2 linked regions of the Tamandua tetradactyla genome follow. The main gene of each other region encodes a partner of the protein of the gene in region 2 in a complex. Links are inferred from orthologs where the notes say so. Each region holds a gene or a part of one and is shown on either strand. Other genes may lie near its edges.

Evidence for each region.
Region 1: the proteins of MDC1 (region 2) and PELI1 are in contact, whole or in part, in a crystal structure (PDB 9IF9), measured with the Homo sapiens proteins. The link is inferred for Tamandua tetradactyla from reciprocal best matches to the Homo sapiens genes MDC1 and PELI1. Residues at the interface, in NP_055456.2 of Homo sapiens: Glu761, Asp762, Ser763, Glu764, Thr765, Gln766, Pro767, Phe768, Asp769; in NP_065702.2 of Homo sapiens: Arg104, Ser105, Thr106, Glu107, Thr115, Asp116, Val130, Gln131, Ser132, Thr133, Ile134, Ser135, Arg136, Phe137, Thr185, Asn186, Thr221, Arg222, Ser223, Ala224, Cys247.

The regions. Positions count from the first base shown.
Region 1 is NC_135343.1:37,212,757-37,224,530, reverse strand, and holds the start of PELI1 (E3 ubiquitin-protein ligase pellino homolog 1), read left to right. Parts: upstream 1-6,680; 5' UTR 6,681-6,930; exon of another isoform or gene 6,931-7,094; intron 7,095-11,774. UniProt on the Homo sapiens protein: E3 ubiquitin ligase catalyzing the covalent attachment of ubiquitin moieties onto substrate proteins. Involved in the TLR and IL-1 signaling pathways via interaction with the complex containing IRAK kinases and TRAF6.
Region 2 is NC_135331.1:85,598,463-85,610,330, forward strand, and holds the start of MDC1 (mediator of DNA damage checkpoint protein 1), read right to left. Parts: upstream 5,068-11,868; 5' UTR 4,946-5,067; intron 4,936-4,945; exon of another isoform or gene 4,739-4,935; intron 4,617-4,738; exon of another isoform or gene 3,893-4,616; intron 3,139-3,892; 5' UTR 3,136-3,138; coding exon 3,000-3,135; intron 2,373-2,999; coding exon 1,992-2,372; intron 1,930-1,991; coding exon 1,833-1,929; intron 1,557-1,832; coding exon 136-1,556; intron 1-135. Other genes in the region: TUBB (tubulin beta chain), read left to right, coding at 8,221-8,277, 9,697-9,805, 10,080-10,190, 10,476-11,533. UniProt on the Homo sapiens protein: Histone reader protein required for checkpoint-mediated cell cycle arrest in response to DNA damage within both the S phase and G2/M phases of the cell cycle.

The sequences.
Region 1 (11,774 bases), on a different chromosome or scaffold from region 2:
AAATCTTTTGAGTGAAAGCCCAGGACTTCAAATCATTTGCCATTCACAGCTTTAAAATAGGAACATGTTCCATGTTGACTGTGAGCTATTTGGAAACTTTAAGGACATTAGGGGAGAATAATTTATTTGGGGAGGAATGTTGAAAGCCAGGAATTCTGACAGATAACCTATTTATCGGAACGTACTACATGCACATTTTATTATTCTCAAATCTGAGAAGCTCAGCAGAAGAGTCCAATATACAATCCAGAGGTCAGATATGGCCTTCAGATTCCCAAAGGGAAATCTGCTTGAAATTTTTATTGAAAACAAAAATACTTTTAGAGCTCACAAACAAATAGAATTATTTGCTGTTTTAAAATATGAGAAATTTGGTCTAAACGTGAAAAGCTATGTCCATTTGCCACAGATGAAATATTTGTAATGAAAGGAGAAAAACAAGTTTTCAATGGTTTCTTCAAATCATAGGAAATGATTGGGGTGTCAAATTTCTTCTGCATCATTTACAAGTAAATTAGATTTTTTGCATGTTTTAGAGAAAGGTATCAATTTTGGGATTTTCCCCTTGATTATATCCCAAATACTGTTCTCATGTATTTTGGGGCAGAGAGTAGAAAGAGAGCTTTTAATGATTTTTTTTCTAGTCAGATGATGGAGGACATGTTGAAATTTACTAAGATGCTTCCCCAAACCCAAAACTTTTTAGAATTTAAGAGATTCAAAACATTTATTAGTACCCCAGGATTCATTTTCTTATGAAATGACTAGATTATATCAAATTTGAAACTGCAGATAAGCAACAAAAGGATAACTGCTTTGGTTGGTCAAGGAAATGTAGGTATTAAAAGAGATATGTAGACTGAGCAGATGATTAATTGGAGCACATTCATTTTCTATGACTAAACTGCCCCGAATCCAAGAATTGCAGATTTTGAAGAATTATTCAGAACTGTATGATGGAGATAAAAATCACAATTTCAAAAAGTTATTCACAGATTTTGACACATAAATGAATGCTATTTTTTCCACGTGACTTTGGAGTACAAAGTTCAACATATGTCTAAATTGTGGTGCATCTTTCCTATTATTGTAGCTCAGTTTCAAAGTTCTCTCTGTATATATATACTTATATATAGACTTAGCATTTTCTGTATGTCAAGGACTGTGCTAAGCACTTTACATGTATCTTCTCCTGCAAGAAAAACTGATTGAACTAATAGTAAATGATGCTGACCTTGGAATTTTAGCTACAAATATATGAACCCCCAAGTTATGTTGAAGTTGCTGGCAATATGGGGAAATTCTGGACAATACGTGGGTCTACCTGATTCTGAGAAATATAGTCTCTTTCATGAGATTATGATAGTGTGGTGGCTATTCTGATTAGGTTCAGCAGCACATAACACAAAATGTAAAATGATGATAACTTTAAACAAGATAGAAGTTTGTTTCTCTCTCAAGAAAAGACGTCATGAGGTGGAAGGTCCAGGGCTGTCATGTCAGCTCCATGATCATTAGGGAACTAGTTTTCTTATGTTTCTGCTACTCAAGTCAAGCCAATTTTTAGGATTTCATTTTATCTCCACTATTGACTTACCATCAATACCTGCTTATTTTGAGTGGCAGTTTGCAGACTCTTATGGATTTTAACTTAGCAAATAATATTATAATACTTCATATAATACTTCATAATGTAAGATCTTTCTAATATACTTTCATTTCCCCCTTCCATCCTCTACTCTATCAATCATTTTACTTCTACATATGTTATGGACCCCATGATTCAGTGTTACTGTTTTTTCTTTAAATAGTCAATTATAGTTTTTTAAAAACTGAAATGAAGGGGGGAAACAGTTTTCATTTACTCACATATTTACCATTTCTGGCTTTCTTTGTTCTCAAGTATAAATCCAAGTTTTCATGTGGTGCCGCTTCTCTTATGCTGATAATAATATTTCTTGTAGTGCAGTTCTGTTGGAGACATTTCTCAGATTTTACATTCCTTAGCCTTTACTTTTTTTACGTGGACAGGCACCTGGAATCGAACCCAGGTCCTCTGGCATGGCAGGCAAGCATTCTTGCCTGCTGAGCCACCATGGCCTGCCCCTTAGCCTTTACTTTTGAAAGGTATTTTCTCTGGCTATAGAATTCTACATGACAGACTTTTTTTTTTTTTTTTTTTTTTTTTTAATTTCAGCACTTTAAAAATGCCTTTTCGTTGTCTTCTGACCTGCGTAGTTTCTCATGACAGGGCTACTGAATTTTAGTCCTTGTTCTTCTGAACATCACGTGCCTCTTTTCCTCTGGCTGCTTTTAATAGTTTCTTCTTACCATTGGTTTTCAACAATGTGATGATATCTTTTGCAATGGTTTGTGCGAGTGTTGTTGTATTTACCCTTTTATGAGTTTCTTGACCTTCTTGAATCCGTGGGTTTATAATTTTTATCAAGCTTGAAAATATTTTCAGCCATATAACTTCAAATAATGTTACCGCCCCCCCCCATCCTTTTCTCATCTGGAATTCCAATTACAAATAAAACAGGCCACTTGATACCCCATAGATCACTGAAACGCTGTTCTTTTCTGCGTGTATGTGTGGTTTATTTCAGTTAGATTTTATTGCTGATAAAATAAATTTTATTTTATTTTATTTTAAGTTTACTGATTTTTTTTCTTAGGTGTGTTTAGTCTTCTGTTAATCCTATCCAATGAAGTTTTCGTTTCGTTTTAATTTTAATCTCCAGAAATTCCTTTTTTTTTTTCTTCCAATATTTAGTTCTTCTATGCTTAGGAGTTCATGTGCACCTTCAGCATTGGAACATATTTATAACTATACTAATGTTGTTGGCTGCTAACTCTATCATGCCTGTCTTTCCTGGCTCTGTTTTTGTTGATTTACTTTTCTCCTGTTTGTGGATCACATTTTCCTGCTTCTATCTATGTCTAACGATTTTTTTTTATTAGATGCAAGGCATTAGAAATTCGGTCTTGTTGAGTGCTTGATTTTGTTGCACTCCTTTAAAGAGTGCTGTATTTTTCCTGGTAGGAAATACTTCTGGATTAATTTGATCTATTCGAGACTTGTTTTTAAGCTCCTTTATGATGTGTCTAGAAAAAGCCTTTATTTGGGAGTTAATTTTGCCTCACTTCATTCACTTCTGAATGCCCCATATATTCAATGAGGTCTGTTCACTCTAGCTGGATTTCCAGCTCCATTTGGGCTTCCCTTTTATTGTTCTTTCCTTGGAAGTTATTTTTGTCTAGCCAAACACTAAAGGGAACCTCTAGGCAGATTTCTTTAACTCTCCACATAGCTCACTTCTCTCTAGAACGCTGACCTCCTTTTAACTCCACTATCTATTCAACCCAGCAAGATTTTGGGGTTCAAGTTTTCCTTCTCTGCTGGTAGTCTGGAAATTGCTCCTGAAAGAATGCCTGGATGATGTCTGGTTTCATCTCAATTGTTTCCCTTTTATCAGGTATCATAGTCCTGACCACCTGTTGCCTAACTGAAAAGTCATTTCCTATATTTTGTCCATTTTTCTGATTGTTAATGGTGGATTGATAACTCCAAATCCTGTTACTCTCTCATGGCTAAAAGTCTAGTTAAAATCATATATGTTTGAATAGCTAACAAGCTATGCTTTAGCACAAATATGAGTCTGCCTTCTGTCTGCACCACTCCTCTGAAAAATTCTCAGTGAGGCCAGAACTACTAGACATGGAGGGAGCGTTCCAGGGCAGGGGCTGTGGCAACCAGGGAAGCAAGAAAATATTCAGAGGGGCTTGGGGCAGCCTACATTAGTGAACAATGATTTCATATGGAAGTATCTGGCAATTTTTCAATGAGTATGGCCTTACTGATGCATGCTAGCTGAATGAGAGTCATGCTCCTAATTCTCTTGCTATGTGTAGTCATTTCCATGATCTTTCTGCCCATCCCTTAATTGCTGGTATTACCCAGAATACTACTATTGAGTCCTCCTTTTCTGCTAAGTGTACTCTTTCCCACCCATTCCCATAATTTCAACTATTATCTACACGTTGGTATATTCCAATTCTATGTTCTGTCTTGATCTCTTCTCTTCCTAGAGCCTTAGAATATATATATATATATAATTGCCCACTCTACTTCTCCACCTAGGTATCTCAGAGTCATCTGAAGCTCAACATGCCAAAAGTGAACTCATCCAATTTCTTCTCAAACCCTGTTTCTTCTCCTGTATTCTCTAACTCAGCATATGGCACTACTAGCTCATAATCACAGAAACCAGAAATCTGGGAGCCATCCTTGAGTCCTTGTGTTGCAGATATTTTGATCCCCTTCTCAGCATCTATTCTTCTTTGTCTGGGTCATCTCTCAGTTTTCATTGGGCTACCCATACCTACTCATCACAGCCCATGTGCTTTTGGGGAAGTTGGCTCTTTTGGCACTAAGGGCAGGACATATATCTTAGTCCTAAAACGTTAAGCCTAATACCATCCCCTGACCACCTTTTTAAGTTCACATATGGACATGAAACTCAATTCTTGAGGCTTCTGAGAAAGGAGTTTCCTCTTTTTTTCCAAAATAGCTTCCAGAAGTGATTTTCTCTTCTGGTCTCTTCTTAAACCCACATGAGGAAACTTTTAGCACAGGAGTTGTTGGCAATGATCATTTCACCACAGAGCTAATACTACTGAAGGAAAAGCAATGAGACAAGAAAGAAATATGACCTTAATGACATCACTGAGCTGTTGAGTCAACCAGCCCTGTAGGCTCTCTTTTCACTGGACTTTCTAGCTAGATGGGTCAACAAATCTTTATTGGCCAAGCTAGTTAGAGTGGATTTTCTGCTGTATACAACCAAAAGCATCATAACTGACAATTTGTCCTCCACTCTCCACCCCCAAAACACAGGCAATTACTTACTAGGTTCTATTAAATCCAATTCCTAATAATATGTGATTGCCCACCATTCTGTCTCCTGCCACTGCCAGTGCTTAGTTCAGTATCTCTCTGCTTTTTCTTTCTGTAGTATTATAACAAGCCCCAGTCAGGCCACACTCCATAGGGTGACCTTTCTAAAATGCATCTATTATCAAATTCCATCTGCTTTTAACCCAGGTGTGGCTCTCCATTGCTTCCAGAAAAAAGTTCATGTTCTTTAGCATACTGTACAAGATTTCTTCCTGATCTGCACTCTCCCAAACCTTTTCAGTGTCTCCTCCTGCTATTCTCCCCATCTCCCACCATTCTACCACCAGAAATGCTGAACTATTAGCTGAAACAAAATACACTTTGTTCTCATGACTTTGGGGCATGGCCCTTCCTGTTCCCCCAGATTAGAATGCTCTCACCCATTTCTCTCTCCCTCCTCCCCTACCAAAATACACAAACACATTAACTCCTGGTCATCCTCAAGCGCAAACGTTCTTTGAAGCATCTCCTGACCTTGGTCCAGTCTGGGGTAGTTTTGTATACAAAGCCCTTGGTGCATTTGCCTATTATAGTACTTGTCACACTGAGTCTGTGTATACCTTGAAACCAAGGAATGTTTCTTTTATGTTTTTATGTGGCTACTGCTGGGGCCTCAAAGTGCTTAGGATATAATAGATGCTCAAGAAATGTTTTTTTAATGAATGAATAATTAGATGATCTGCAGACATAAATACTTCTGATCTTAAGACTTTATTTGAAAATCTTGACTTTCCCTATCTAAATGTGTTTCTGGTTTCTAAGTATTGCTCTTTTCCTTCCAGAGGTGGGGCTTTACATTGGCAGAGAAAGAAAACAGAAGAGCTAGGGACAGGTTGTCCTTAGTCCTCTGGAGATTCAGTAATGTGTCCTGTCTTTCACCACAGAACTCTATCACCTATTCATACCTGGGTGCCCAGAATGGGTGTAGACTTAGCTGACCAGTCCAGCAACATACTCATGACTTAGTTCAGACGGCTGTTCTTGCCAAATAAAAGTTTATCAATATAAATAAGGGAGCATATTTTCAACTCCCCACCTAACTTTTGAACTTACCAGTTCCTTACAAGATTTGTATTTTTTTTAATTGTAAGCCAAAACGAACGAATTCGGATTTTTTACACTGACCAAGGAAAAATATAGTGATCTTAACCCTGGACTTTACATTGCTATCCTTAAAGTTAGATATGCCTAATTGAAGAAATTAATTATGGGATTCTGATAGTGGTGATGTGTCTTAAAGTTTTAAAACCTAATGTTAAATTACAGGAAGCAACTACATTTCTACAGATCTTAAGGAAAGAAATTTAAATTTGAGTCAGTGAGGATTTGCTTGAGGGAGCCCCGAAAGGGCATATGGGCTTCAAAAACACCGAAACAATCAGGAGGAAGTTAGATTTCACTGGACACTTCAGAGTGGTGAGGCTAGGAGTTGGGGGTGGGGCGAAGTGAGATGGACTACCTAAGGGCGGGATCCCCAACAGTACCTTAATACAAGACGGGCCTTGTTCAGTCAACAGCAGCACTGAACTGCTCACTCCGTCAGTGTGTCGGTGACCATGGTAACCAAGGCACCCCCCCGCCCCCCCGAGACTCTTCCCCCGAGCATGCGCAGTACCCAGCGAGCCCGGAAGGGTCGGCAACAACAACGTATTCATTTTTTTCTTCCGTCAGAGAACTACAACTCCCAAGAGGCATTTTGGCGCCGCGTCGCCGCCTCCCATTGTGGCCCTGCCCTGTCCCCTCCCTCCGGCACCGCCTACCCCCTAGTCCCCTCCCCTCCCTCCGAGTGTGTGTCAGTGACCCAGAGGCGGTGTGAGGCGGAGGGGACCGTCGGGGGGCGCCGCCGCCGCCGCCGCCTCCACCGTCAGCACCATCCCTGCCGCGCGATCGGATTTGTCTCGAGCCCTCCGAGTGCGCGCCACAAAGCACGCTCCGCGCTTCTCCCTCCGCCCGCCGCTCCTCAGCACTCGGTGCGTTGGTCAACTTCCCCTCGCCCAGCTCGGCGGGCTGCTAGGAAGGCGGCGGTGGAGGCACGCCGCGCTGTACACACACACATACACACACACACCACACTTCACCCCCTCGATCCGGGTCTCGGCGCCGTGCTGGGGTTTCGGCCACCAACAATTGTCCGGTGAGTGTGGCTGCGGCCGCCACGGGGCGCCGCCGGAGGCTTCGCGGCGGGGCTCCGGGGCTGGGGAGGGGTTTGGGGAGGGCGCGTGCAACTTCCTCCTTAGCTTTCCCGGCGGCCGGCCGGCTCTCCCCGCCCGCAGCGCGCCCTTGCACCGGGAGGCGGGCGGAACGGAGTTTGCGGCGCCTTCATCCCGCGCTCTCGCCGGAGGAAGCGCCTTTGTCAGGAGCGGGCCCGTCGCGCCCTCCCCCACCGCCTGGGCGCGGGGCGCGCGGCGGCCAACTCCGGTGCCTGAGCCCCCAGCCGCGCTCGCCTGCTGCGGGAGGGGAGCTCTGCGGGCGCCTGGGAGGAAAAGAGAAATGAAAGAGAAACAAAGGGGGCGATGGGTTTTTCTTTTGTTTGTGCGAATCTGATAACTTCTTTCTCCTCCCTTACATAACACAGCTTCCAAGTTAGTCATTCTTTTTATTGTTATGATGACTGCCATCATCTCTGCGCGTCTGTCGCATCTCCTTTCATCTTTGGATCGCAGAGCATTTTTGAAACACTAATTAATTACACCTCTGGGGCCCCTGCGAAGCGAGTTAATAAGCCCATTTCCGTAAGTGGGTAAACTGAGGTTCGAAAGAGCTCTTTAATTGATGAATACGCTTGATCTACCGCGCCCGATGTCTTAGGATCTGAAAACATTTATGAGTAATAACTCGTTCTCGAATGCCCCGTGGAGAAGTTAAAGATGCTCATTTTACTTACAGGTTAACTCAAGTCTAAAAGAAGCCTGGGTAATTGTTAGGTAGTTCATTCAGTAATTGTCCTAACATAGTGTCTTGAATCTTAAAGCCTCAAAGGACTTGAAAAATACTCCGAGTTGGAAAATCTTAAACTCACCTTACCATCTACCTTTATTTTAATACGTGCGGGACTCTTACCAGGCATGAGAGCGGTGATGCAGTAGGCAAGATTTTTAAATGTACACTTAACAGGTTTTAATCACTTCACAGAAGGAAATGCCTTGATTTTAACATTTAAAGCACCAACAACCTTCCCATAGTTTAGTAATCAAAAAGTATGCCGACAGATGATATTAAACTCTTTATGGGTAAGGTGCTGTTGTGCTAAAGACTGAAGTTTTAAGTATATGAAAAAGCCATCTATTTCTTTTGGTTCAAAAGCTGTTTACCTTACTCTGCAAAATGCTGTTTTGTTTTCTTTTCATAGCAGATGATCTTTTGTTTCAGCATTGGCATTGTCTTTTTCTGCATTGAATATGTATTACTTTTATAATTGAGGAGACATGTTCGTTGTTTTGTTATTATTGTTCAGTTTCCACAGTATTGTGAAATTAAGTTTTTGAATTGCGAAGGTTCAGTTGTTTCAGTTCGGTTTCAGTTCACGATATGATTTGCTTGTAGCTTACAGAGAAAATGTTTTCTCAGAGTAATCAGATTTACATCCTTCAAAACATTGTTCTTATTGTACACATACAGCATATGAATACCTTATGCTTTTTACTCACACCAACAGCTTTTCTGGAGTAAAATACTGAAGTCCTAGGGCAAATTTATTTGTTTTAGAAGCTGAACAAAACAGGAAAGTATTAAAACTACAAATCAAGCATCATTTCTACTAGTTATTTTATGAGGTGACTAATGATCAGAACTGTAGTAACAGTACTTTCATTTGTCCTAAATTCTCCTTGAATTTAATTTTGTATTGCATAGTTGCTCCAGGTTTTAGATTCTGGTGGTTGCATCAGAAAATGAGAGGGAGGCATTTGCTATTTTAGTATTTTTCCCCAAGCTTCTAACTTGTTCCCTTTCTGTAGTATGTTAAAAAAGATCATGAGTTTAAAACAGTTGGGAAGTAGGAGAGTTAATGTATGTGGAAAGTTGCGTGTAGTGAAGTGATTAAAATGCCTCATCTAGTAAATTTACAGCAAACTGTCACCTCTGTTTTTATTATAAAGGTAGAGGTACTGTAATAAATAGTAATGGTATTTATTGATTTGAAAAAGTGACCTGGAAATTGTGCCATAGCAGCAGAAGTTTGGAGGAGGTGGTGATCTATGCTCTCTTTAACTTTGTCAGCTATGTGACCATACAGTTGATTATGTTGAAATTTTTCTTTACCGTTTATAAGTCAGATTTACCAGGAGTATTTGTATTTTAAGGAAGCTACCGACACTCTTGTCTTTTTTGTTCGGTCATTAGAGTCCAAAGTCAGGAGTTAGTGCTGACTGGCAGAGTCTGGCATTACAGGTTCCCTAATTTCTTTGTGACCTCTTAAAAGAAGTGACTGAGAATACTGGGTGGGGAACTGGGTCTAGTCTTGTGAACGCTACTGAGGCAGGTTTCAAGGGAAAGACTAAGTATGTTTCCATTAGACTTGTTTCAGTTTCCTTTCAGGCTGTCATTTGTATATTAAGAGTTTGTCATTTCAGGACACACTTTACTATGGATGTCTAGCAAGTCAGGTGATAAGAACTAGAGTAGTTCTGTTTTTGTGAACAAACTTCAGACAGAAGTTTCTGTTGCTAATAAGGATTTTAAGCCAAAAAATTTAGAATTGAAAACTATCTTTCAAACATATTCACATACATACATCTTAGGATGGCACATCAATCGAGTATTAAGTTAGAAAAGTTTATATGGATTATTTCATTAGATATATATTTAAATTTATATAATACTTTAAAATTTCACAATGACAAATATATGATGGCACTGAGATTGTTCTAGAAGTTTCTTTGGAAAAATTGTTATTGCAAAAGTTACATGTATGTTTTTTAATCAAAGAGAATAAATAAGGGCCAGAAGAAAGAAGGAAGAAGATCAACAGTGATGAATATCTGATGATGTTTTTAAAGAGTACAAGATTAAAGATTCTTAACAGCATTTTATATATTAAGGGATAGAATTTTTGCTTAAGTCTATAAACAGTGACTTCCTCTTAGCACTTTCTGTTTATAGATTTCTATCCATCTTTTCCCCTCTAAATATATCACAGAGAAGTAAATAGAAGTCATTCTTTCAAGGGATTTGGGTTTTGAAGTCTTTTTTTTTTTACATTTTTGATAGTGATGATGGGAGTTGTTGTTTTCTGTTTAAAGTTGACCTGTACCTTAAACTAGTCCTGGACTAATGTGTGGGAGCCTCAAGACAAATATTGACTACTAAAAGATTTGGATAGGATTTCAAGTTCTGCCACTATCTTTTCTTCATATTGTTTCAAATAGATAACTTATTCGAATATTTTTTCCTTCTATAGGCTGAAAATAATTGCCTAACATTCTATACCTATTGGGTCCTAAATAATTTTTTGCTGTTATTGCTGAGTGAATTTACAAATAATAAAGGGAAAGCAAAAAATTTCTTGAATTAAATGTCAGGGAATTTCTCATTTTAATGTAAACATATGAACATCTCATTGGAGTCTTCCAATTAGCATAGCTGCCTTTCAGAAATATACTTGAAGAAAAGAGCTTCATCAAATTACTTAAGAAAAATGAATTATACATAATTCTAAAAAGACCTACTTTTTAGGCTATTTTACAAAATGTTTTAGATTATTTTTTGCCAAATAAACTCCATTTCAGAGAACAGTTCTACATACTACTCCTTGTGTCACCCCTGTAATACATCTCAAAATACCATTTACAGAAAAATATGTTACTGGTGTCTATAAATGGGGAGAATCCTAACATCTATCATCATCTCCCAGTTGATCTTAAACATTTGTGTGGTTTAAAAAATTAGGTTTTTTTTTCAATACTCATGTAATTTACTTCCTTTTCCAGTAATTTATGTCTAATTTTTATTTTACAAAGAAATATCTTGGGAAGTTGCTAATTCTAAAAATATGTAGTACTCTCAGTTTCCCAACATCTTCTGTAATTCCTTTTCCTATTTTTTTTTGGCTTCAGTTTGCTTTTCCTCTAAACTTTCTAAAATAAGCAAAGAAGTGTTTAAACGTATTTGACAAGAAATACAGTTAGTAACTCATCATGCTAAATATCAAAATCAAGGTGCATTGACATATTTGAAGATAGAAGTACACTTTTCTTTTTGCAGAAGGCTAAAGCAGGAATAGCAAGTAGATTTCACTGTGGGTACCACCTGTGGGTATCTTGTTAGTATCTGCCCAGAGTACTATGTTTAGAAAACTGAGAGGCCTAGTTTGGACTGCAATTAGCTGTTTTTTGCTATCCTGTGGACAGTGGGCTTTTGGCATAGTGCCAGATATTGATTTTGTATTTATTAGATCCTTTTAGGTATCAGGCACTAGGCTAAGTGCTAATATCACACAAACTAAAACCTCTGCCTTCATAGTGCTTACATTCTAACAACAATACACAGACAGTAAACAGAATAAATAAAACATTTCTTGTGTTAAGGACAAATAGCCTGGTTTATTCAAATAAGAAATAGTAAGGGGTTGAGGGTATAAGATTAAAAGAAACTTGAGGTGTATCAACCAAATGCAATATATGAACCTTACTTAGTTGGATCTGATTTGCACAAACTAATTGTAAAAAAGACATTCATGGAAAATTTGGACACTGACTGGATGTTTGATGAAAAGGAATTCTAATTTTTAGGTGTGGTAATGAATTATTGCTTTTAAAAAAAGAGTTCGTACATTTTAGAGATATTTAATGAACTTTTTTAAATGATACGATACCAT
Region 2 (11,868 bases):
CTGGTGGGGAAGAAATACAGCATAATAGAAAATCATACTGATTCTAACTTCTTAGTTCATCTGTACTATTCTCTTCCAACCCCTACAACTGTTCTTTTATTAGGGGTCAAGAGAGGAAGAAAGGCCATTACTTACCATCATGACTGTCTTCAGAATCCTTGATCCCATGCACATGTGGTTCTCTCTCCCTTTCTGTGGGGGTCTGGGCTCCCTCTCTATGTGGCTGGGTGGGTTCCCCGGGAGTGCCTGTTCCCACCACCAAATGTGTTAAGTTCTCCCTTGAGACAGGGAGAAGGTCCTGTTCCACTTGTGTCACAGGTGACCCACCCTGGGCGCCCGCCTCAAGTGCTCTCTCCCGCTTGAGAACAGCTGCAGCCCACTCTGTCCCAGCATCCCTTTCTGCCGGAAGCTGGCTCTTTCTTACATCTGCCATTGCTGAGGTTGTTAAGGACATGCCCTCCTCTGCATCCATTTCACAGTCTGGAGGAAGCTGGGCTTCCTCTAGATGTACCACAGGCACCTTTGCTGGATTCCCCTCTGCTTCCTTATCTGTTTTATTTGTTCTCTCCTCAGGAACCTTATGCTTCTCCAGATGTGTAAAAGCTGGCCCTGACGGGACTTCCTCCTCCACTTCAGTGTTAATGTTCACCATGGTGGAAGTTTGGCTTCTCTCCAAGTGGGTCCCAAATAAGTCCTTATCTTCTACAACATTCACATCACTATCCCCAGGGAGAGGCTGGCTTTTTTCTGAAAGTGCTAAAACAAGAGCTCCATCCTTGTTTGTGTGGCACTTGGGGAGAGACTGTCTCTTTTCCACTTGGAGCTCTTCCTCTTCCATATCTATGTCACTGTCTCTCCCAGCAGAGGTTAGGCTTTGTTCTGGAAGGACCATAGATTGGGCCCTGTCCTCTTCGACATCAACATCTTTGTTTCCTGTAATAGTTCGGCTCTCTTTGAGAAGTGACAAAGCAAGTGCTGCTGAGATTTCGTCCTCATCATCTGTGTCGCTGTTGAGCACTATGGAGGGTTGGCTTCTCTCCAAAGGTGGTGGGGCCTCACCCTTCTCCACATCTGCATCACTACCAGCCTGGCTCTCTTGCAGATGCACCCCAGGACTCTTTGTGCTAACTCCATGGAAGATTTGCCTCTTCTTCACAGGAACCACAGCTAGGGTTGCAGGAATCCCCTCTTCTTCCACATCTGTATCACTGTCAATGAAGGGAGAAGACTGGCCCCTTTCCAAGTGGACATCAGCTGGCTTTTCTGTAAGCTTACTGTCATCATCCACATCTGTGTCACTGTCCTCCTCCATATCTGATTTCCCTGTATCACTCTCTACTTTTCTTTCATTGTCCACCTCCTTTGCTGAAGGCTGATTCTTTTTGAGGTGGAGTTCAACTGCAACTCCATCAGCTTCTGCAGTTGCACTTCTTCTGGAAGTTGAAGAGACCTCCCCTGATGCTGGCTGCTCACCTTCTTCATCTGTGTCACTTTCCAAGTTGAAGGCAAAAGGTGGCCCACCGCTACCCTGGGCAGGGGAAGCACTCTCTTCATCACTACGAAGAGAAGAAGAGAAAGATTTGGTAGACTCTATTTCCCAGGAAGGGATACTCCATTCAACCATAAGCTCCTTGATGACAGACCTGAGGTAGTATTTTTTTCTCTGTCTCCAGCAATTAGTACTCCATCTGGCACCAGAGGTGATCAATAAAAATTAAGCTGAGTGAATACATATGGTTCCCCTGCCCACTCTCATGATTAGAGATTCAATTCTCCAGTCCCTGGTTCCTTCTCCTTTTGAAGACACAGGTGTCTGGCCCTTTGGCACTCACCTTTCCGGCACTACCGTTGCCAAAGGAGAAGATGTGGACTTTGATTCTTTCACTATACACCTTTCAGAAAAATCTGTCAAGAATAGAAAGGAGCAAGCTGACAATTTTACATACCCCATCTGCCTCTGTTCACCGAGCCTCCCAACACCACAAACTTACCTACTTCTTCCTCTGAGTCCTCAGCCAACAGAAGGCCCTGGGGTTGAGTTCCTGCCTGTACCCTGGGTGTCTCCTCAACAGTTAGGGTACCTCGGGAGACAAAAGGCAGGGGGACATCCAGGCGATGGTACTGGCAAGGCAGGTCAGCAAAGAGAATCAGCTCCTGGTCCCTCAGACGATGACTGACCCCAGGGCTCAGAACCTTAGGAGGCCTGAGGATTTGAGTACCATTGAGGCTCCCACAATCACGGAGGAGAGGTGCCTTGTCCAAAGCCAAGATTTCAATTACTGCATGTTGTTTGGAGATGGACGGAAAGGGCAGGGCCACAGAGCAGTCAGGCTTTCGGCCTACCACATTCTTCCCAAGATATAGTGGGAAATCTAAGAATTAGAAAGGAAGATAGGTTCCAAGGCCAGAGTCTTTTCTTAGGAAAATGTTGCTGTTACGTTTTTCTCTACTCACTCAAGGCCCCCACTTGCATTAGAAAAACAAAAGGCTCTAGAACATCTAGGCACTGAAGAGTATACACAATGTATTATTCATATTCAATACTCTCTCCAAGGGAGTGCATGTTAGTTCAGTGGTAGAATCCTCTGCCTCCCATGCAGGAGACCCAGGTTTGATTTCTGGCCGATGTACTTAAACAAACAAAAAAAAACAGCAAACAAAAATAGTGCTGTGATACTGGGATATTCAATGGAAAAGAATGAAATGTGACCCCCACTGTACAGCGTATATATATATATATATATATAAGCCATATCCCTCCACCCTGAATTTTAATTTGAATCTCTCCATCTTCTCCTACGAAAGTAAAATCACTCCCACTGAGTCTAGGGCACTAGATTAGAACAATAAACTCAAATAGCATCTTTTCCATTTCTGATAAAAAAATTTTTTTCAAATCTCCTTGAAATATATATAAGCCTCCTGCAACCCTCCAGATACCTCCTCACAAAAAAAGTAAACGACTTATACAAACACTTCAGTACCCAATATCCCCTGACCTTTTTCTGGTCCATGGGCACTGCCGAAGATATGCAGTCGCCCTAAGGGCTCCAAACTATAACCCAAGGATTCACTGGCTCTCTCTTCCTCCTCCTCTTCGTCAACCTCCCAGTCAATAACCTGGGTATCTTCCATGACCTGGGAAAGAAACACATTATCATTGTCCTCACCATTAGTTCATACACACACAACATCAGAGAAGAAATTGATAACTGGAGGTAAAACTGGATAGTTGTGGAAACTGATGCTTCTTTTTCTCTCATTCATTCTCTCGATAGTCTTTTGAAGTATTTCTCAAACATTTTTGATGATGACATAAAGTAGAAAATGATATGGCTCCTGGTACAGATATATTTAAACCTTTGTGCTTATTTATAAAAATACGGTTTTGAGAAATAATGCTAAACCCTACTATTTACAATACACTGATATCTTTTCATTCTTTTTTTAAATTCTCTGTTTTTTAAATGCTAATTTGCAAACCACTACACTGATTTCACTATTTACTCTTGGGTCATAATTCAGTTTGAAAAACATAATTTTTCTTTTTTTTTGTATGGGCAGGCACCAGGAAGCCAACACGGGTCTCTGGCATGGCAGGTGAGAACTCTGCCACTATGCCACCTTTGCCCACCCTGAAAAACATAATTTTAAAGGGAACAAACGTTTGCTGAACATTAACTATGGCCCAGGCATTGTGTTACATGTCTGGCATTAACGGCCATATGAGAAAGGCATTTTGGAAACTAAGACTAAAAATATTAAATCATTTGCTCAGGATAACACAGCAAATGGAAAGGACAGGAATAAATGTGCTTCTGGCTGCAAGGTCCATGTGTTTTACACTTTGCCATATAGTGTGGTCAGAGAAAACTGCAAAGAATCACAATACCTGGTGACATACAGAGGCTTGCTTTGTGCAAAGCACTGTTTTAATTAATTCACACTGACTGATTCACTTAACCTGTACAAAACACTTTAAGGTAGCTGGTAGCTCCCATTTTTCTGATAAAAGAACCTGTGACACAGATGTGTTAAAGAACATGTCCAAGATCACCCAGATAATGTCTCGCCTCTGTCAATACCCGTTGAAGGCTTTCCATGATCCCAGGACAAAACAAAAACCTAAACTCTTTAGTAAAACCCTCAATTAGCTGAACCTCATGTCCAGCAATGCACTAACCTTCCTGCCCCAACAGCCTATGGTTCAGCCAAATGGGCCTTCTCCCCTATCTCTCAACATACTATCCCCGCATCTCCTTACACCTGCCTGCTTTAGCCCAGCTTGCCCTTGCCCTTCACTCCTAGTTTCCTTGTTCAACTCCCACTTATTCTTCAAAATTCCGTTTAAATGTCATTTCCTCAGCAAAGCCTTTCCAGGACGCCTGGTGGATCCTGTGTGTTCCACAGGGATCAATGGACTCGTGTCTCTCCTAACAGTTCTTATCACACTGGAACTATTACTTTCATTTGGGCCTTCAACACCCATTCGTGGGCAGGGCCATTAACCTTGCCCTCCTAGAGTTACATCGCCGAGCTTATCGAAAAAAGAACAAATGGAAGGAGATGTAAACTCAAAATAACACGGGTAGAATCCACTTAAAAAGATGCCACCCTAGAGAGAAACCATTGACTGGTGACAAGTAGGAAAAAGTGTTAACTCCGACCCTGTGAACAACTAAGCGGGTCCCCCACGACCCTTGACTCCAACCCAAGGGCCACCATCTTGGAACCTTACACCAATGGGTCCCCTCAGGATCCAACGTCTCCCTGCGTCTTCGGACCTAAGCTCGGGGCGGGGCGTCAGGTGCGGATGGGCAGGACAATCCCAGAAGCAAACTTCCGAGTCGCCTCCGCCCAGGCGCCCCTAGGGCACGCCCCTCCCGCCCTCCGGGAGAATCAAGATGGCACCCGGGGAGCAGCGGACTGGGCGTCCAGAACTCACCTACTTTGAGTCGTCGCGCGCGCCGCTAGTAACGGCCGCGATCCAGGTGGCGCGAGCGCGGACGCCGGGAAGGAGCCGATTCGCTGATTGGCTCCTGAGGCTGTCTTCACAGCTCGGCTGCACGCTGATTGGGGGAGCCTCCCGCGCTGAAGCAGCCCAAACTCCACCCCCGGCATGCCCCACCCCGCCCCGCCCGGGCAGCTTCTCGCAGGACACTGCGAGACACTAATCCGATGTTGCTCTGCGCGCAGGCAACTACGCACCTCGATTGGGCAGTTCCAAGGGACAACCCACCGCCGCTTCACCGCTCACTGCCCACTTCCCGCGCAGATTTCCAAACCGTGACCATAGAGTTTGGCGCCCGCTGCTTGCGGAGGATAGAAGGGCTATACGATAGCCATCGCTCAATGCGTTTGGTGCGGCCAGGGCGTCCTTTCTCGGTCCTCCCAGACATGGTGTCCGCTGACTCATGAGAAGTGGGTTGCGGCTTGCAGTCGTGGCTGCAGGCTGCAGTGCGAACAGGCCGTAGGCGTGGCGCTTGAGGACTCCTCATAGCAATGGAATTTCATTTCCTTTTGACTTGTCTTGTTCTGCAGAGGTCATGTCATTTCTTCTTGGGGATACATCACTGACGGAGATTTTGAGGTCATTTTCCTAAAGCACAGATCCCTAGGCGAACAGAGAGAACTGCTGGGCTAACCGTCTTAAAAGGATTACTGAGATCTGTCCGCACCTTTCAACGAGTGGGAGGATAATAAAATCATTTCAGTATCTCAAGCTGACATGAAAAGAATTGCAGCACTTTGAAATGCATTTATTTTTCCCATTAGTTCTCATTTAATTCTGACCACATAATACAAGAGGCAGAACTAGATTTTAACAAACGTAGGAATTGAAGCTCTGCGGTTTAAACGACTTGCCAAGGTTCCTAAAGCTAATGTAAGGTAGAGATAAATTCGAAACAAGTCCTCTAAGTTCTAAACTCTTTCCACTGCCACAAAATAATGGCTTTCGTTGTGATCATGGTATAGAACATAAAATATTCTATCTAAAGTGACTAGATGAGGAAGGGTCTTACACAACTTGATATTCCATTATTTAGAAGGTGACTTGAGAAATGTATTAAATCCAATGTGAATTAACAATGACGACCTTGAAATCACATCTCTATTATAGTGCTTCCCACACTATTGTTACTATGTTTATCCAACTCTCATCAAACTGAGGTCCTGGAAGACAGGACGCTAGTTCTTAATCATTTTTGTATCTCTAGCTTCTGGTTTGATGAACACGTAATATCTATCAAATGACTGGATATTTGGGAACAAAAGGCAAGCTACTGTGACATCATCCCATCCAATTTTTAAGATTATTTATATTATATATTCTCATACCATGTAATCATCCAAAGCGCACATTCACAATATCATCATATAGCTGTGCTTTTATAATCACAATCAACTTTTTTTGTGAAAAATAACATATACAAAAAAGCAATAAATTTCAAAGCAAATGGCAACAATTAGTTGTAGAACAGTTTTCAGAGGTTGGTATGGGTCACACTTCCACAATTTTAGGTTTTTACTTCTAGCTGCTCTAAGACACTTGGAGATGAAAATAAATATCAATGTAATGAATGATTCAGCAATCATACTCATTTGTTAAACCCTACCTTCTCTGTATAACTACACCATCATCTTTGAGCTTTCTCCCACTCTCTAGGGGTATTTGGGCTATGTCCATTCTAACTTTTTCACGTTGGAGGGGGCTGTTGAAAATATGGGATGGGGGATGGAACCAGTTGATGTTCTGGAGAGGATGGCCCCTCTGCATTCAGGATTTATCTTGTCCAGGGACCCATCTGGAGGTTGTAGGTAACCCTAATGCACGGAACTTTGGTAGAATCTTATATATTTCCCTGGGCACTCTTAGGATTGGCAAGAATGATTTTGGTTAGGGTTTGGCAAGTTATGATAGGTAACGATGTCTAACTGAAGCTTAAGAGTGACCTCCAGAGTAGCCTCTCGACCTCTCTCAGCCACTGATACCTTATTTGTTACACTTCTTTTCCCTTTTGGTCAGAGTGGCATTGTTGGATCCCATCCGATTTCTCCTTACCAATCGATCCCCCCATTCTCCCCATTTCATTTGTAGCTCTTGAAGTTAGCTACAAATGAAAGCAGCAAACTGAAAAAACATTGCCTTCATCAAAGTACCTAGAAAGGCAAGCTGGAAAGACCCTGCTATTTCTATCAGACATATAACTCCATAGTTCCTTGCTTGACAAGAAAACCAAGATGTCTACAACGCCCACATGAGGCCCAGATTCCCTACTGGACTGAAACTTCTGGCTTCACAGTACTCTGACATCAACTTGCCTAAACCATTCAACTTATTCTTTGAACATACCCTCCAGCAGCTACATCTCTATCCTGGAAAGTCCTTGCTGCAATACTGTTTCTCTTTCGAAACATCATTCGAAAATTCTCAAGCGAATAAATAAGAGAAGGACAATCCCCAACTGCTTCCTGAGGCGCAGTGGTTTACTGGAGTTCAGGTTTGGTCAACAAAGAACCAGACGTCGGGTAGCAGAGCAGGGTGCCGCATTTCTCCCCAGTTTTCGCTGAACTAAGCATTCCTATCTTTTCAAGAGCTAAGGCAGCAGGGAGCTTTCTGGGCGTGCCCACCCCACTTCCCAACGCCTGGCATCTCAGTCTTCCCAATTCCTGTATCTTCGAAAACTCCCTTTCTGTGCAAAAAAACTCAGGAGTAAAGAAAGCGATCTTGCACAAGGTCATCATTTTTCATTAAAAGAACAAAAGAAAACGAAACACAAAAAAAATCACCCGGTACCCACCCTTTAGTCACCTCATTTTGCGGCGTGGACAACAATAGAGGACTACAACTCCCAGAGAGGAGCGCGCTCGTCCACTGCGAGTCGAGACCAATGGACGGCTGGTATATGACTGCCATCAACTAATCAGGGCCAGCGTGGATGAGGCTTTGTCTCCCGACCGCCGCGCGGGGCCGGTTCTCCCGCCTCCCAGCCGCCGCGCACGCGCGCCCCGCCCTGCCCGCCTTCCCTCCCTCTCCCTCCCCCCTCCTTCTTTCTCCCTCTCAAAGCCTTCCTGCTGCCGCGTTCGGACCTTGCTGCTCCAGCCTCCGGGCCACGAGCCATCCTGCCAGCTTGCGACCCGCGGAGGGAAAGATTCCATATCATTCTCTTGCCCCGCACACACTTTGAGGCGAGCAAAAAGTTAAAATAAATTTTAACCATGAGGGAAATCGTGCACATCCAGGCTGGTCAGTGTGGCAACCAGATCGGTGCCAAGGTAAGGATTTTAAATCTCTTTAACTGTATTTCTTTTGAGCAGGAAGAAGGAAAGCCTTAAATTATGAAGAATGATTGTGGGATATTCGTGCTCTCCATCCTTAAGCTGGGGGGGGGGAAGTTTTATACATATTTGTGGCTAGAATTTGCCTTTGGAAAATGGGGGATTATTTTTCTTGGCAGGCTCACTTTCGGAAAGGACCCTTCGGGTTTCGGGGGCGGGAAAACCGAGGAGTTGTAAAATTGCACTTAGAGGATCTCCTAACGGTCCGAGGACTGGGGAGCGAGATGCGGAAACCTCCCGAGACAAAGCGAGGCGAGCCTGCCCCATGTGCATCTCGCGCTCGCCCCCCCCCCCCCTTGGCGGGAGTTCCTAGGGCGAAGCCCGAGGGGGAAGGGGCGAGGCTGGGCGGGCAGCTGCAGAGGGCGTCTAGCCTAACTGGGGGTGGGGTGGGGTACAATGCGCCATGTGGACTGCTGCCCGGCCCCCTTAACAAAAGATAAGGGACCCCCGCACGGCTCCGGTCCCTGTAGTTTTAAGTGAATGAAAGGATAAAATGTACGTGATCAATTTTATTTCATTTTTCCTTAACGAGATCCTTTAACGGAGTGAACAGATAGGGAGAGGGTGGAAGAAAAGGAGGGAGCATGCCCGCTTAAAATAGCCGTAGGAGACTAAGTGGGAGAGGGGCAACCCTCCTTTAAAGCAAGAAAAAGAAACTTAGCGAAGGAATAAAATTCCAAGGCCTAGGGTTTTTTTTTTTTTTTTTTTTTGCGCGCGGTTACAGTGTAGCGGGGGAGGGGACGGGAGGAAGTGCCGCTGCTACGTTGTAGCAGAAGGGCGGGCCCGGCGGGGCGGGGCGCCCTAGGCGCGCGAGGACAATGCGGTCCTGCTGGCCCGCGGGGGCGCGCGAGCCCCAGCCGGGCGCCGCCCCACGCGCCCGTAATTCAAGCCCTTGGCCCCGCCTCTCCCACGCGCGACGCCTCCCATTGTCGGCGGCTAGACCCGCGCGTGCGCTGCAGTCACATGAAGGCCGAGTTGGGGGCCTGGGCTGCAGCTGCAGTTCTGCGTCCAGCGGCCCTTTGTTTGCTGCGTGGAGGGGCGGGGCCCGGCGGGGGCGGGGCTTACCTAGGCGGGTCCGCCTGCTCCCTCTCTCTTCCCCCACCCGGGTGCCTGATACCTCCGGGTCCTCTCAGTCCCACATCACTTTCCCCAAACCGTGAATGAGCTGAATAAAACACAGAAGCTGCAGCTTACCCCGGGGCTGTGGGTGTCTAGGGGAAGGGTGTGGCTGGGGGATTGAGGGGATGCCGGGCCCTCGTACAGCACCTACCATGGGCGCGACTGGAATTAAAATAGGGGAAAGAAGGTGATAGTTGGGATCTGAGCGGTTGTGGGCTCATTATTCTTAACCGGCAGTTCTGGGAGGTCATCAGCGATGAACACGGCATCGACCCTACCGGCACCTACCATGGGGACAGCGACCTGCAGCTGGATCGCATCTCCGTGTACTACAATGAAGCCACAGGTGAGAGAAGGTGCCCCGAAGGCTTGGGGTCCTATATTATCCTGCTTCATGTCTCCATTCCCGAGGAACCCCCTTTGGATGAATCCTCGTCCTTTGGAGACCTTTCATTTTGATTTCTTCCCCGTCTCCCACCTGGAACCAAAGCTTAGTTCTGCTGCCACCTGGTGGCAGGGTTTGGAATCACAAGTCTAGGTCTCAGGCTCTTTCCTAACCCTAATATGTTATTTATCTTCCCCACCTGCCAATTCTCATTCCTGTACTTTCTCCCCTATAGGTGGCAAGTATGTTCCTCGTGCTATCTTGGTGGATCTAGAACCTGGGACTATGGACTCTGTTCGCTCAGGTCCTTTTGGCCAGATCTTCAGACCAGACAACTTTGTTTTTGGTGAGTTGTTAGTAGATACCATCATATTCAATTTATTTAGGTGTGTGAAAATAGAAAAGGTTTGGAGGTAGTTGTAGTGGAGAGTTTTTAGAGAGTTATAAAATCTGAAGGAGGAGGGTAGTGGTGGTAACTGCCCTAACTAGTAAATTATGAGGATGGATACATTACAGCTGAGGGAGAAAGGAAATACATCTAAAGGAATTATTGTAAAAGATAAAAGGTAGATGTATGGTCACATAGCTTCCAAACCTTCTTAATTAAGCTTACCTCTGAACTCCTTTCCAGGTCAGTCTGGGGCAGGCAACAACTGGGCTAAGGGCCACTATACAGAGGGGGCCGAGCTGGTCGATTCGGTCCTGGATGTGGTGAGGAAGGAGGCCGAGAGCTGTGACTGCCTGCAAGGCTTCCAGCTGACCCACTCGCTGGGCGGGGGCACAGGCTCTGGAATGGGCACCTTGCTCATCAGCAAGATCCGTGAAGAGTATCCTGACCGTATCATGAACACCTTCAGCGTGGTTCCCTCACCCAAAGTGTCTGACACAGTGGTTGAGCCCTACAATGCCACCCTCTCGGTCCACCAGTTGGTAGAGAACACAGATGAGACCTACTGCATTGACAACGAAGCCCTCTACGACATCTGCTTCCGCACCCTCAAGCTGACCACACCAACCTATGGAGACCTGAACCACCTCGTCTCAGCCACCATGAGCGGTGTCACCACTTGCCTTCGCTTCCCTGGCCAGCTCAATGCTGACCTCCGTAAGCTGGCAGTCAATATGGTGCCCTTCCCCCGTCTCCACTTTTTCATGCCTGGCTTTGCCCCTCTGACCAGCCGTGGCAGCCAGCAGTACCGGGCTCTCACTGTGCCCGAACTCACCCAGCAGGTCTTCGACGCCAAGAACATGATGGCTGCCTGTGACCCCCGCCATGGCCGGTACCTCACTGTGGCTGCTGTCTTCCGCGGGCGGATGTCCATGAAGGAGGTGGATGAGCAGATGCTCAATGTGCAGAACAAGAATAGCAGCTACTTTGTGGAATGGATCCCCAACAATGTCAAGACGGCTGTCTGCGATATCCCACCCCGTGGCCTCAAGATGGCAGTCACCTTCATTGGCAATAGCACTGCCATCCAGGAGCTCTTCAAGCGCATCTCGGAGCAGTTCACTGCCATGTTCCGCCGAAAGGCCTTCCTCCACTGGTACACAGGTGAGGGCATGGACGAGATGGAGTTCACCGAGGCTGAGAGCAACATGAACGACCTCGTCTCCGAGTACCAGCAGTACCAGGATGCCACCGCAGAAGAGGAAGAGGATTTCGGTGAAGAGGCCGAAGAAGAGGCATAAGGCAGAACCCCATCACCTCAGGCTTAGTTTCTTCAGCCTTCTTCCTTGTCTGCTGCCCCTTTCCTCTCCCTCAGAATTTGCATTTTCTGCCTGGTTTTTTTTTTTTCTTTTTTTTTCCCTTTTGCAGGGGGGTGGTTCTTGAACAGTGCCTGACATATAGTAGGCACTCAATAAATAATTTGCTGTTTGTTGAATGTCTCTTCTCTCTTTCCACTCTGAGAAACCTAGATTTCTGCCATTCTGGGTAACCCTGTATTTTCTTCTGGTACCTACTTCTCCCATCTGTCTAGTTAATGATACTTTCTCTGCTCTTAAGTCATTTCTCCAAAATGCTG